2 linked regions of the Mytilus edulis genome follow. The protein of the gene in region 1 purifies or fractionates together with the protein of each later gene. This does not show direct contact. Links are inferred from orthologs where the notes say so. Each region holds a gene or a part of one and is shown in the gene's direction. Other genes may lie near its edges.

Region 1 (8,073 bases):
AAAAATGGGTGGGGGGGGGGGGGGTTAAATTTTTATCATTTCAGATTTCATAAATAAAAATCTTCTCCTCTAAAAGTACTGCGCCAAATTTAACCATACTTGACCATAATCATCATTGAGGTATCTAGTTTTAAAAATGTGTGCGGGGAACCTTCCAACCAACCCAGATGGCCACCATGGCTAAAAATAGAACATAGGGGTAAAATGTAGATTTTGGTTTATAACTCTGAAACCAAAGCATTAAGAGCAATTCAGACATGTGGTTAAATTGTTTTGCAAGTCAAGATCTATCTGCCCTGAAATTTTTAGATGAATCCGACAACTGGTTGTTGGGTTGCTGCCCCTGAATTGGAAATTTTTAAGGAAATTTTGCTGTTTTTTTGGTTATTATCTATTCTTGAATATTATTATAGATAGAGATAAACTGTAAACAGCAATAATGTTCAGCAAAGTAAGATCCACAAATAAGTCAACAACACCAAAAAGGTCAGTTGACCCCTTAAGGAGTTATTGTCCTTTATAGTCAATTTTTAATAATTTTGTAAATTTTGTAAGTTTTTGTAAATTTTAACTGTAACTAATGGGCCAAGTTCATTTAAAATTGAGATAATTGTAAGAAGCAAGAATATTCAATAAAGTAAGATCTACAAACACGTCACCATCACCAAAACACAATTTTGTCATGAATCCATCTGTGTCCTTTGTTTAATATGCTCATGAACCAAGGTGAGTGACACAGGCTCTTAAGAGCCTGTATTAAGAGCCTGTAGTTATCTCCCCTGGTCCAAGGGACAGATTGACCTTTTATCATGACTTGTCATCATTAACGTTTACAAACTGATTTGCCGAATTTAACTTTGTGACAAACTCGGCCACTATCAGCATTAAAGTATCTTGTTTTGATATATCAGTCTGATGACCCCCACCTGCCAAACAAAATGGCCAAAATGGCTGAAAAAGAATATAGGGTTAAAAAGCAAGTTTAATCTATTATCGTGAAAACCACTGTAAGTAAACAAAAACTGACGGGGAAAAATGTTCAAAATGATTAGACCTACTAATTGTTCATCTACACCAAAACTATCTTGAAAATTATACTGTAGTTAAAGAGAAACTTTGAGAGCAAAACTTTTTTGCAAGACGAGATCTACTTCTATGATCTATTACAATTGACAAAAATCTTCAGATCATTTTTAGCTCACCGTTCCAATTGTGAGCTTTAGCCATCACTTGGCATCCGTCGATGTCCTTTGTTGGTTTCTTCATCCGTCTGGTGTAAACTTATTTCAAACATCTTCTCCTCTGAATCTACCAAACAAATTCAAACCAAACTTTAGCTGAATGATCCTTAGGGTATCTAGAATAAAAATGTGTTTTATTTTCTGTTTCGTCAAAAAACATGTCCGCCATGTCTAAAAATAGAACATAGTCGTAAAATGCTGTTTTTGGCTTATATCTCAAAAACCAAAGCAGTTAGAGCAAATCTGACAGGAGGTAAAAGTGTTCTTACGGTAACGTTCTATCAGCCCTGAAATTTTCAGATGAATCTAAGAACATTGTTGGGGTTGCCACTAAATTGGTAATTTTAAGGAAATTTTGCAGTTTTTTGTTATTTTTTTGAATAGTATTAATGATAAAGATGAACTGTAAACATGCAGCAAAAATGTCCAGCAAAGTACGATCTACAAATAAGTTCATACTAGAACACACCCGCGAAATCGCGGGCATTCAGAGCGTAGTTTAAAGTATGTAAAGTGTTGTTGGAAGAATTTTGTAAAATATTGAATGACTGGAGAATTTCAGCAAAAGTATCATATATCATATATGATAGGTTATTTGGGACAGGAAAATACTTTTTTTTTTATCCCTCCTCCTTTATTTCCAAAATTCCCAATTTTTGGTTTTCTATCAATTTCAATATGAACATAGTTTTCATTTAGTATATTATGAACATTTAAGTAAGGAGCCTGTAATTCAGTGGTTGTCGTTTGTTTATGTGTTACATATTTGTTTTTCGTTCACTTTTTGTACATAAATAAGGCCGCTAGTTTTCTGGTTTGAATTGTTTTACATTGTCAGTTCGGGGCCTTTTGAAGCTGAGTATGCGGTATGGGCTTTGCTCGTTGTTGAAGGTCGTACGGTGACCTATAGTTGTTAATTTCTGTGTCATATTGGTCTCTTGTGGAGAGTTGTCTCATTGCCATGTTGAGACAACTCTCCACAAGAGACCAATTTATACCATCATGAAATATATGAGAAGAACATAACCCGTGTTATGCCAACAACTGGTTTTAGAATATGTGTTTAATGCCGATGCAAAGACCCTATAAGTGAATCAATATTAAAGCCAAAATTCGCAGTCTTTAATCACCTTGACAACAGTATCGTAGTTACTATAGCCCTTTTTAAAAAGTCTGTTTAAAGGTTTTGTTAGCTGACTAGTATATTAGACACGAATGAAAGCGTATTCGGCTGATGGTGGGGTGTTCTAAAACTTCTGTAGTTTTTTTTTAACTCATACGAAATATGGTACATGGAGTAATGCTTTGATAATGGTTGGCTAGCTGACATTGTGGCTCTAGTGAGTATCACTTTTTCCAAACGACCAATACTGCAGGAAATCGTACAACACAATCATATTACATTTCATTTTTAAAACACATTGCATGACAGTTCCACTGAACTCATTAGAATGATTTTTATAGTAGTATTTGTTTTTGTTTTTGTTGTTGTATATATGTATAAAATAGAGAATGGAAATGGCAGGGACTTTCTATACTAATATTTATAGACAGTCCCTGAAATGGGGAATATGTCAGAGACAAAAACCCCACCAAAGAACAATTACAGCCAAAGGCTAAATAATGTTTATCATTTTGCGTATTAACATGCCACAGATCAATCGACTAGCATATATGTATGTGCCCGTACTAATTAAGTCAGGAGCCATTTCTGTGTCATTGGTTTGGTGCACGTTAAATTAAACAGATAAAAGTAAGAGGAACATAAGTTTTTATACTCTATAACCGGACAAAAAAAATGATTCACCAGTTTCACAATCTGATAATTTACTAGTAAAATGCCGACAGATCATGTGTCCAAGCTATGCCCCTTTAAACGTAATAAAGCTTGAGCAAAGTTCGGATCAGTTTTTTTTCGCTAAGAATTTACGTATCACTACTGAAAATAATGCTTTTTAGAAGGTAAATATTTGAATCTTTAATGCAGGACAACTCTCGGTTTTACCAGTAATGGTATTCTGCATTATATTACTCTATGGTATATACATTCCATGATACAAGTGCAAGTTCTGAATATCTTTTAACTTGAAAAGTTAAGCAGGGTAAATTGAAATTAAGATACTTAGCCCTGATGATGATGAAGAGATTCAATGTCTCAATCTTGTTTAAAACATGTTTCAACAATCGAACTCCCGTGTCATATGATAAAATTATAGTGTGCCCTTGTACACCAAGTCATCGAAAGAGAAAACAAAATCTGCAGAAGCAGTATATCACCATATAAAATGAAGTTTTCATGTAATATCAGGCCTCGGTAATATTTATTTTTTTGGGAATTCTCGGAAAATCGTGGTCCAGTTGTAGAATGCTAACTAACAAATTAGATTGAAGAACATACTGATTGATCTCTTCTACATATGTAAGACACGTTTTTGATGAGCAAAAAATATGAGCACGTCCAACGCGTTTATTACCTTTAAAAGTACGAAAGGAATCATTCAATTCATAAAATTAGATTATTGTATAGCCATATGAAGTCGTTTGGTTTTACAATGCATCGTTTAAATGTTGGCATACTGTTACATGTATGTATGATAAATTATACGGACCATTCATTAAATTGTAAAGAAAGATGCAATTTGCCCGCTTAAATCACTAATACTAAAGGGACACTGTCTAGCTACGGGATATATAAAAAAATGAACTATGATTTTTTTTGGTGTTTAATCATTAATGAAACTGAAATAGTGAAATAATAATTCGCTTTTGACAGTCAGTATGGTTCATTTTTCAAAATAAGCTAAGAAACATTGATGATGAATTATGCACTTGCACAGTGGCGGATGCAGGAATTTTCGAAAGGGGGGTGCTAGCCCAGGGCAAAAGGGGGGGGGGGGGGGGTGCAGGGGGGGTGCAAACATATGTCCCGATTCAAATGCATTGATCGGCCAAAATAAAGGGGGGGTGCGGACCCCCGGAACCCCCCCCCCCCCCCTCTGGATCCGCCACTGTTGCAAGTGCATAATCGACATCATTGAATCATTTTTAATCACAATATCTATTTATATCTATAATTATGTTTATATGGCTTATATGGTCATCAGAGGATGTCGATGGTCAACTCGATAGTAGATGACGTCTCAGTAGACCCGGCGTAAACTACAATTGAAACGAAGCTATATAATTGAGCCCAAGCCCTGTAAAATTGTAAAATTTTATACTTTTTATAATTTGTATCATGTTTTACATTGTTATAATCAAATATGAGAATTTGTCAGGTAGTGCCCTATAAACACAGAATATATCATTATATGCGTTAAAAAAATGTTTTAAATAGGGTCTGTATTATCCTACATTGTATAAACATTTTATTATGGTATTTAGTCAGTTCGGAAAAATGAAATTCTTCGTCATTAGAGTGTTTTAACGGGCACATGAACGTTCCATATTCATAGATAAAATTTGACATCGAACCAACCAAAACGTTTAATTTGTAAAAAAATATATAGTTGATTTCTAATAAAACAAGAGACAAAATGGCCATGATAACAGACCAGAGATTGAAAGAGATGGAAGAGGAAATGAGTCGGTAATAACCAAAATAAAAAAAATGTCATAATATCCCTACATACGTAGTACATTTTATACAGAACCACAATGTCATGTACACAGTCTACTTCTACTTCTACCAGATACTGAACGAACTGGTTTTTCTACTACGCCTTTCGGGTAAAAAAGAACCCTCCACCCTCGCTCATAATGTTCTGATCTACATCCCTAGTTCAAGTAGTTAACGCTGTTAATGTTAGAGACTAATTTAAAATGCAGTTTCTGTGTGAGTAGTCAAATAGACGTATTTACACTTGTATGCAAATTTGTCCGCCATTACATTAAACCACACAGGTTCCTGTAAACTTTGACATCATAATTCAAAACATTTGACGTCACAACTAAAAAGTGATTGTTGTTTGACGTCAGAAGGTTATTTCGGAGGTGATATTAGGTCATTCAGAGGCAAAATACAGCTAAATACCAAAAGTGTAAATACGTTTATTGGCATTCCTAGGCTACATGTCCACATCTGGTTTTATAATAAAATGTCATAAGATCAGGAATGTAACATAAAATATTCATGGGAATTAATGGTAAAGCACTGTCAGATCAGAAAGGATGTGGGCCATGTGCCAATTTAGCTTATCAACCAGAAATGGCGCATAGAGTGACAAATGTAAGCGCCCATGTGACACACAATATTTTTCACTTTGTTTCAATATGTTTAGATATCATCAAATGGATTTCCGATCATGTTTCATGTTGCCATGTGTGTGTACACAACTGTGTAGTGTTTCCTCCAATGATAGGAGCACCTATATATTTTTGGGACGTCCGGGTGTTTTCCTATTGTAATATAGCAACATGCGGTATAACTGATTACCCCACAAACATAATGAACCATCATTCATGATATACAGTGTTCTAGCCAGGATTTGAAAAGGGCAGGGTGCTAGTAAGAAAAAGGGCAATTTTACGTGCAAATGTCATTGAAAAAGTGCAATTTTTCATGTTAATTAATGTCACTGAAAAAAAGGCAATTATTTTAGCCTAATAATTAATTAACACATAACTTTTATTTTGCATTCTTTTAAATTCAAGTTTCAGTAAAAATATATTTCAATTCTTTTGGCACAATTTTACATGGTTGACTTCATAAATCATGATCATGATGATGCTGAGACCCTTTTAGGAAGCTGTTTCCTTCATATTACATAGTTGCTGTTACAATACTAGTCTCACCAAGTATATTGTGATTTTTTTTATACTTCATCTGCTAATAAGGAACGTCTGGAATAAATATGGTATCTATGAATTTGGAAAAGAAAATAACATGTACATTACGAAAATATTTTTTTTAGAAAAATGAAAAAAAAGAAACTGAAATTTTAAAATATCTAAAAGGAGGGAAAATAAAGCTTGAATGTATTCATAAATTAAAGAAGCTATTAGTATTAAAGTTGATATAGATCTCCTTTATATCATGATTCCATGAATGATTTACACTAGAAAAAAGAGTATTCAACAGAAATTAAATAAAAAACTTGACTAAGGAATGAAAAGCAGCAAATCCAATTTAAAATTATAAATAAAAAAATATACCCTTTTCCTCTCCAAATTTGTCTGGAATTTTCTACCTAAAAAGAAATTAAGTCTCTCAAACTATGATTTTTCTTTGGATTTTTTTTGTTTTAATGCACAATTGATTCAGTTTCCTTTATACAAATGTATGTAGTTATTTGACTGATAAAATTTGATTCTGGTATAAGTTTTTAAAGAATAATTTCAATAAATTATAAGTTTTAAATGTCTTCCCCTCATATACATATATCACAATATTCCATTTTAAGAATATTTATTTAACAGAGAAAAAAACTGTTCACTTACTATATAATTATTTATAAAAACTTGAGAGTCTGGATTCAATCCATTTATTCCCTTATTGCGATGATTTCTGTGTATATTTCATGTTTCATGTGCCATTAGATGGCATTTTGGATGTGGGGACATGTAGTCTACTAATGCCAATTTGACTACTGGTGCTCTCATGTGGGGTTGGGCAGACACTGCCAAAATAAAAATGTTATAATAATAGAAAATACTATCACATTCAAATACATCAATCTGTGACCAGAATATCCATCCCCTACCTATATTCATCCAGATTTATTTTAGCCTTAACAAGCTACAATGTAAGCAAGGTTTTATGTACTTTTGTCTGTTAAACTTCAAGTCTTTGTTTTAAATTAACTACATGTATCTGTAAATATTTTTCTGGTCTAGCTGACTTTGAGATAACAACAGTCGAATGTATATTAAAAAACAAAAAAAACAAAAAAAATGTTATGCATACCAAAGATTTGTGTATAGCACTATACACATCCTTCAAATAATATGAGGCTTTTGATTTGTGATGACTTGTACAGCTTTGTGATTTGTTGAGTAAACATTTCTATTCTTTTTGCATAAATAGTGTTTTTTTTATATGAAATTCCCCTACAGTGCAATGAATTCAGTTCAACAATTCTGAATATGATATTTGACTTTAAGTTGACACACTTAAGTTGTCTTTTACAGATTTGAACAAGAAATATTGGCTCCAAAAGGTCAGGGTTCTAAGCCGCATCCTATGATAATAGGATCAAGAACATTCACCAATGTTCAAGCCAGGATATCATCAGATCCTCCTTCTGTTGGGCAACCCCCTCCTCCACCCTTGAGAAAACCACCCACAGCTCCACCTGGTAGTAAGCCTGCAGGACCACCATCAGTTTCCTTGCCAGCTTCAGGTATGTATACTTTACCGTTCTGTACCTCTTCAACATGTATTCCTGATTGTATTTTATGCTTATTTTGGATTCTGTTTATATAAGGGTATATGCAATTACAAATGGTCTTGTTTAACTTATTCATTCCTGCTCGGTTGCTACTGTAACAGGTCAAATATACATACATGTATATAATTAAGGTTAATAGCTATTTAAGGAATTACTGTAATATTTTTTCTGTCTTTGAAGAAATAACTTTAAAAAAATGTGGTGCACACTGAATATACACAGGTTATTTTATAGTGTGAACTTTTTATGTTATTTCGAATAAAAAGAAAAAATATTACAGTCATTTCTTCTAATTTAATTCTAAATTCAATTTTTAACCAGAGTAAACCATGAAAAAACGTTGATGATGCTACGGTCACATGACAAAATTATGTCTATGAGCTGATAAACAAAACAACTTCAGCCAATCAGAAGATGTGTTACATCCATAATTTAATTATATC
Region 2 (8,267 bases), on another chromosome or scaffold:
ACACGACTGCATGGAACAAATGCCCAAAGCACAGCATGACTGGGACAAATATTCAAGGTACAAAACGACTGGGACAAATGTTCAAGGTACAAAACGCCGTGGACAAATGCTTAGGGTACAAACCAAATGTCACAATAGTTATCAAAGTTTTCAGGAATAAATATAAAATAGTTATAAAGCCAAACAAGTACAAAATTGAAGAGCATTAAGGATCCAAAATTCCAAAAAGTTGTGCCCAATACGGCTAAGGTAATATATGCTTTGGATAAAAAAAATCCTTAGTTTTCCAAAAAAATCAAAGTTTTGTAAACAGGAAATTTATAAAAATGACCAAGTGATTGATATTCATGTCAACAGAGACGTGCTGACTACTGGACTGTGATACCCTCGGGCACAAAATTCAGGGTTCAAACCGAATGTCACAAATGCTCAGGGTACAAACCAACTGCATGAAACAAAGGCTCAAAGCACAGCATGACTGGGACAAATGTTCGAGGTACATTCAAGGTACAAAACGACTGGGACAAATGTTCAGGATACAGACCGAATGTCACAATGTTCAGGGTACAAACCGAATGTCACAAATGCTTAGGGAACAAAACGACTGGGACAAATGCCAAAGGTACAAAACGACTGCATGGAACAAATGCTCAAATCAAGCATGACTGGGACAAATATTCAAGGTACAAAACAACTAGGACAAAAGCTCAGGGTACAAAACGACTGGAACGAATGGTCAAGGTACATAAATTTAAGACTAGAACCAATACTTTATGTACAATTGCTGAAGGTACAACACGACTTGGACAAATGTTCGGTGTACAAAACGACTGGAACAAATGTTCAAGGTATAAACTGGCACAAATGTTCCAAGTACAAAACGACTTGGTACTACATTCGATCAATGTATTAGTCCCAAAAAATGAGGATAACAAAAAAACACTGACCTACCCTATAATCATTTGTTTAACGGTTTTAATATGTTTCTGATATAAGACTGTGTAATGTTATATAAAAAAAAAAGGAGATGTGGTTTAATATGAAATTAAGGAAGGTGGTGTGATATACAAACAGGAGAAGTGGTAGGATGGCCTATGTGACAACTATATCCAACAGAGTACAACAAAGTGTATTTAAGCATGCATTCAAATATGAATATGTAGGTCACCATAGTTGATGCGACCTTCAAAACCATGTTGTAAAGTCTGCTATAAAAGGCCCCGACATGACAAAATGTGAATAATTTCAAACGGGGGGAAAACGAACAGATTTATAACCAAACTAATAAACGAAAAAATATTTTCTTTGGTATTTATTTTTAGCTTTTCTGATCGGATCCTATGAAGCCCTATGAAAGGTGGTGTTGCAAGTTTTATATCCTTTTTTAATGCAAGCATGTATATTGTGTAATCGTGATGCTAAAAATAATTTTAGTGAGCCTAATGTTTGAGTGTGTGCAATAACGGGCATGTAATTGTTAACATTTCAGAATTTTGTAATCTTTTGTTAGTAATCCGAACAGATACCCTGCGAACTGCGTGTTCAAAGGAATAAATGTACACCACACACTTGACAAAAAACTCCAGAACAATAACGGTTCAGCTAACTATATCTTCCATTGTCCTTGGCCTATCCTGCTTAATCACTCGTAAACCTTACTTAGTCATACAAAGGCCATTCAAAAATACACAAATATTACTTGATATTTTACTTCAATATTTTAGTTAGTAAAATATCATAAACCTCCAGCCTAAAATCAATTCAATGTTCTTCCATTTCAACTTTTTATACGAACATCCAGTAAACCAACTAACTTTAAGATTCTGTTTACCGAACCATGAGTCATTAGAATTGAACTAAATCTGCACAATTATAAATATAAAAAGATCAAATAAAAAGGTAAACTAAAAAGAAAGCCGAAAAACTAAACAGAATGTGAAATTGCAGTAATATCAGTTCAACAAAATAACGGAGTTTTATTTGCTTTCCAGTTGACTGGGCTACGACCTATTTATAAATTGGTTTATTAAACAATCCAACTTTTCAAACTTCAATAAATATTGACCAACAGTATTGCATAACATCTTGTCGAGAACAAATTCTGTAATACAGGTAGTTATATTCCACGAAACTACGTCACCTGTAAAACATTTCCACGAAATTACGGTTCATTTCGCAAGAAGAAATGGCTCAGTACAATAGCCCTGATGAAATTAAAATTATTTTCATACTTTATTTACCTATTAGTGTTGTAACAGTATAGACACATTTTAATTGATTGCTAACAGTAAAATCATGTATCCCGTTAAGAGTACAATTATACGCTATTATAAAGAGCTTCGGGGCTATACACATAAGCTATCTATTTAGGGGGGAAAGATAGAAAGTCCACGACTCCGAATACATGAAAATAGTTTTTAAAAACCAACAACACAAGAATACAAACTTATGTTGTCTTCGTCTTAGTCCGGTGTTTTAGGTGTCCGTTTTATATACGTTTAAGACGTTTTGCTACCTAAAGCATCAAAACCAGAATACACTGAAATGGTTAATGGAAGCAAAAATATACTTTAGAATCCCAAAGGGAGAGCAGGGATACAATGTAAGCTTTCGTGGTGTTTTTTTCACATCTCTTGAATGAAAATAAAATGTATCTTGAAAATGTTCGACTGTCTAAAGTATAATAAATGGACATTTCATATGACATTTTGTACCTATTAAAGAGACAATGTTTTGTAGTTTGGGCAACCTCAAAGACTAAAGATACATGTACAGTGTACCTACGGTTTCTTATATCAAGTTATTAGTCTTTCAAAATGCCTAATGGGTCTCAATAACACAAGAGGCAAATATCGAAGGCATTGTCATATGCTGATTTTGTTCTGTTTAATTATTTAGGGTAATGTAATTTTTTTTTCTTCACTGGATCAAACTTTTGAAAGTTACAATAAAAAATAACAAGGTCCTAGTATTGCCCACTTTCAAATTCGTTTTTCATCGGCAATAAATAAAACAGACGGTCAGATGAGGAAAACACATAGTATAAGAATGTTCACCCCTCCCCCTTTCCCGTCGACATCTATTATTTTATATATAGTATAAAACATCGTGTGGGACTAGTGATCACGGGTTAAAACTGACGAAATGGAACAAGTTTTGACAATCAAAAAGTATAACATGCTCGGTATGTTTAAAATATGCTGACAACATACGGATCTTATTTGTGTATTGGTCTGTGACCAGCCTTCCGGGTATATATGATGTAGAATTTATAAATAGCTTGATGAGGGAATACCCTTTTACTCCAATAAAAACTTTTAAATGGACCTTCTCGGCTGCTGAAAACAAAATTAAAAGGTATAATAATAGGATTTAAATGTCTTTACACGTGCTCTAAAATTTAAATGTCTCTGAAAGTGCAACTTTCGGTTTAAAAAGATATTGAGCATTTAAATTTTTATTTGTACCTCAAAACATACGGTGATAAATTTAAATGTCCCAAATGATGAATTTAAAGGCTTGAAATATTGAAAATTTCTAACATTTGTTGGGTAGAATTTGGTGAAAGAAAGACTAAGTACGGGAGTGAAAAATAACACCACTAAAATCAGGTAAGACGATTTACACAGGTAAAATCCGTGATCAATATAGGTGTAATACTGGGACGCGTTCAAACACATCTCTTGTCTTTGTAAATAGGTATTTTGTGTTGTGTTTGTTTATTTCGTTGTTGCTAAAGAAACCCGTTACAAATGGATTGAGACAAAGTGCTCTTTAGTGGTTTAACATGCGTGTAACGGGACCTCGACCATGACGAAAAGAAAGGGGCGGGACTTTGTTAAAAACCCAGGTAGCATGTTAAAGCTTGAAGATAATGGTGTACTGTTTGATCTCCTATTACCTGTCTGCTTGACGACACAGTGGATCAACGATTGATCGATCGGCCATTTAAATATCACCCCAATTAAATTTTGATTGGAAATATTCGTACATGTAGTAGATTTAAATTGGAGGTTTAAATGTCTGCAACAAATATAGATGTAAACAAAGATTAATATTAATAACATTACAACGTGGTTTGCACTTCACAAATATTATATTCCTGATTCTACTTTTCATTTCATTACCTGTCAACCTTTTACCGTATTAAATTACATTTGTTACATAACTTCAACTGTACATGTTTATACTTAAATGGTCGATCAATGTACCGTAACTATTCCAACTGTAGCAATTGAATAATTTCCAATCAGTACCCTCTTCTGAAAACATTGATGTTTATGGTAACAATAAATTTAAATTCCATGGAACTGTCAAATAGTTGCTTTGAAAGTCAAGATTTTTTCTGATTTCAAAAGTTTGACACTTTTTGGTTAGTATATAAATAGTCAATTATCAACATATAGGATACAAATTTTTTTTTCAATGAGTAAAATAAAATAAATACTGACCTGTATGCGTTCTCATATGAGCTTGGAGAGATTTTTCTCGAGGAAAAACCCGATTACACACATGACAACGTATTCCACTATGGGACACTGCACCTTTGAAGATCAATGAAGTGATTAGCTCGGCCCTCGGACGTCCTCTCTTCATATAATCTTCCAAATCAGCTGAATCTTCATCAGGGGAATTCCTATCCATATTTGATGCTGGTTCAATTATAGATTCTGGTTTACTTTCATCTTTAAATCCCCACGACGGCATGGTTAAATCACTTCTTTACCTTTCGTTGTGTCACCCTTGTTCATAGGTATTTAATTCTTACCTGTATAAACCCGTTATCGTGCCAACTGAACTCCACCAATCGGGTATGTGGTATAAAAATAGATTTAAAAAAAGGATTTCGTGGTTTCCCCGTCGTTGCTATGCATTGTGGGATATAAATTACAATTTCTTAAAAACACTTTAGTTATAGGCTGAATTATAATATGCATGAAGACTTTAGTTATTCAATGTACTCTTAAATGTTTAAACTGCGAGAAAACTAGTGGCAAAACAGAGGCTATAAAATTTCTATGACTTACTCCCGCCAAATTTCTAAATATGGAACTTGAAAACAACCTTGAACTGTCGAGACTCTCGGGTTTTTATGTTACAACTAAGGAAGGATTTTTCCTCCGAATATTCTAATTCCAAAGCATGCTCATACTGTCTGGAGAGAAACACGCCATTTTGTAGCACCTTAAAAAGTAAGGCCGTAAAAATCCATTGCCATCCTCAGCATCAAGAGGAACAATGGACTCGCAATACGGCATAGCAGTGACTAATAAGTTCTGTCTTTTTGACGACGATGATGATGTCGATCCATATGAAATCCTGAAGCAAGAGGAACAGAAGAGAACCGAGGCTTTAGCGAAGGAGAAAGCTGACAAGTCCAAACCAACTAAAAAGACAAAAAAGACAGCACCACAAACTGATAACAAGACTAAATTGACAGAGCAAAACACACAAAAGAAAGAAGGTAATAATTCTATCGTGCAGAAATGATTATTTGCATTGTCTTGATTGTTTATTAGGTAACCCGTTTGACATTTGTTCACAGATAACACGCTTGAAGTCCAAAATACTTCGTTATATTTGTTTCCCCCCTCCACATTCACGTGTATATGTATGAAAACTGGTTACCATCTGTACCAGATGATAAATATATATTTTGCAATGATGTTGAAGTTATGTTTATCATGTGGTCTTGACCATGTTTGGTTATGTAGTTTACTAGTTATGTTCCACCATGTTTTCTGATCCTGAACCTACTTCTATTATATTAAGGACAGTCTTGCAGGGAAATACGGTTGTATGCAACTTAAGGTGGGGTACAAAACAAATGAAGGTTTTTGTAGTTTTTGGTTGTAAATACTGTGACGCAACATGGTAAAAAAATATTGCAATTGATTAAACATGCAACTCTTCTGATCAGCTGCTTCTGATGCAGATATAGATTTTATAAATTTAGCTATTTTTGATTGTCTAAATTGCTAAATCTCTGTTAAATGAACTGATGGACAAGAAACCAGCTTTTGCGAAAGACCACAAAAAAAATGAAATTTATATTAGAACTGCCAGAAAACTGCACTTACATTACCAGCTTTTCAGTCACATGTAGCGGGGTTGCTTCCCCTTAGTACAGGTAGAACATATATAGCCAGTCTTAATCAACTGAGCTAGGGAATCGATTCTTTGGCTCAGTGGGTTAACGCACTGACTGTCACCCAGACGACCGGGGTTCGAATCCCGGTGGTGACGATTCGATACGATACGTGCTCTCCGGTTACATTGGCGCCCAACTAAAAAAATCCACGATGGTTATCTGGAGTATAGCCAGGGTTTGTGTTGTTAAGAGTCATATATGAAGATATGATGACTCTTGTGGTGGGGGAATAGTGTAGCGGGGTTGCTTCCCCTTAGTACAGGTAGAACATATATAGCCAGTCTTAATCAACTGAGCTAGGGAATCGATTCTTTGGCTCAGTGGGTTAACGCACTGACTGTCACCCAGACGACCGGGGTTCGAATCCCGGTGGTGACGATTCGATACGATACGTGCTCTCCGGTTACACACACAAACAAAAAATAGTTGAGTGAGATCAAATTATATTTGTAAGTAAATTTGCATTATACTACAACAAAACCATTATAGTTGTGGGCTAAACTGTTTAAAAACAAAAATGAGAGTAAAGTAAAAAAAAACAATTCTTTTCCAAATTGCATTTTTATGCCTCATTTATGGGCATTATGTTTTCTGGTCTGCGTCCGTTTGTCACGTTTCAGGTTAAGTTTTTTGGTCGAGGTAGTTTTTGATGAAGTTGAAGAGAAATCAACTTGAAACTTAGTACACATGTTCCCTATGATATTATCTTTCTAATTTTAATGCCTAAATGGGGATTCCCATTTTCACGGTCCACTGAACATAGAAAATGATGGTGCGATCCGTGTACTGGGGACAGTTTAAGGAAGAATTTTAGTAATTTTGTTTCCACTCTACCACACATGTATCCAGTACTATTCATGCAATGTGTAAGCTAAGAGGAAGTTTTTTGTTGATTTGAATTTGAGCTTTAGACCCATAGTTATAAAAGAGGGACGAAAGATACCAAAGGGACAGTCAAACTCATAAATCTAAAACTGACAACGCCATGACTAAAAAAAGACAACTTTGTTTATGGTATTGGTGGGCACACAAACAAAAGAAAGTAACTATGTAGGAATACCTTTAATAGATAATTCATTTCAACCAGGCCTAATAAAAAAAATTGAGCCTTATAATGGAAAAAATTTACAAGATCCCCTATTCTTGGGATTGTTCATTTTGAAATTTCAGAATTTATCATTGTATGTTTTATAAGACAGTATTTATTACAATTACAGAAAAGGTGGTCCCATCCCAAGCGAGGACTCAGCAAAATGAAAGGCCTCCAAGGAGTGCTAGACAGAACAGAGAAAATAGAGAACCAAGGGAAGACAGACGGCCAAGAAGACCTGAAGAAAACTCATCTATGACTAATGAACCAAGGTATAAGAAATAGATTATTATCGTTGATCATCTCATCATCGAGATTGATTTTCTCACTTAAGTCTGTATAGCGAAATTTAGAAAATCAATCAAGTTGAGATGACCAATTATAATCTGTTAGTCGCTATTTAACCTATGAGGTCAGAGGATGTTGTTAATTTCGTTGACAACAGGCATATATACTCCCTTAAATTCTAGCCATAATTTTTCATATCGCTCGACTCCATTGGAAGGAAATTATCAGTCAGTAAGATAAAAGAATATTTAGTATTATTGTATAGCAATATATTATTTCCAACAGAAAGTAACCAAAAGTTAGCGTGCAATAAATTTTAACATTGCACTAGTGCAATAAGTCTTCAAAATTCGTGACGTCATCAACGACAAAATCTTAGTTTAAACCAATTTTTACTTTAAATATTATATTGCTATACAATAAAAGGATTATTGCATGAATATTGGGGAATATCGTCCCTCGTAGAACATATATTGCACTCGCAAGCTCGTGCAATATAAAATTCTACTCGGGACAATATTCCCCATTATTCATGCAATAACCCTATAAAATAGCAATAATCAATTTTATTATAAATTCAATTGGGGATAAAAATCATCCAGACAGAATAAATATCATTTTTCACATTAATCATTGACTGATGATCAAATATATGACAAAATACCAACATGTAAGATGATGTAAACACTCTGGAAATATTTCTTGACACGATGCCCACTGTTGTATCCGAGAACAATA

Evidence for each region.
Region 2: the proteins of RNA-binding protein 42-like (region 1) and SERPINE1 mRNA-binding protein 1-like purify together in Homo sapiens (affinity purification with mass spectrometry; 3 studies listed by BioGRID and IntAct, with this or other methods). This does not show direct contact. The link is inferred for Mytilus edulis from reciprocal best matches to the Homo sapiens genes RBM42 and SERBP1.

The regions. Positions count from the first base shown.
Region 1 is NC_092348.1:78,619,907-78,627,979, reverse strand, and holds the start of RNA-binding protein 42-like, read left to right. Parts: upstream 1-4,672; 5' UTR 4,673-4,777; coding exon 4,778-4,830; intron 4,831-7,370; coding exon 7,371-7,582; intron 7,583-8,073. UniProt on the Homo sapiens protein: Binds (via the RRM domain) to the 3'-untranslated region (UTR) of CDKN1A mRNA.
Region 2 is NC_092344.1:122,518,140-122,526,406, reverse strand, and holds the start of SERPINE1 mRNA-binding protein 1-like, read left to right. Parts: upstream 1-4,824; 5' UTR 4,825-5,238; coding exon 5,239-5,464; intron 5,465-7,368; coding exon 7,369-7,513; intron 7,514-8,267. Other genes in the region: uncharacterized protein, read right to left, coding at 4,452-4,707. UniProt on the Homo sapiens protein: Ribosome-binding protein that promotes ribosome hibernation, a process during which ribosomes are stabilized in an inactive state and preserved from proteasomal degradation.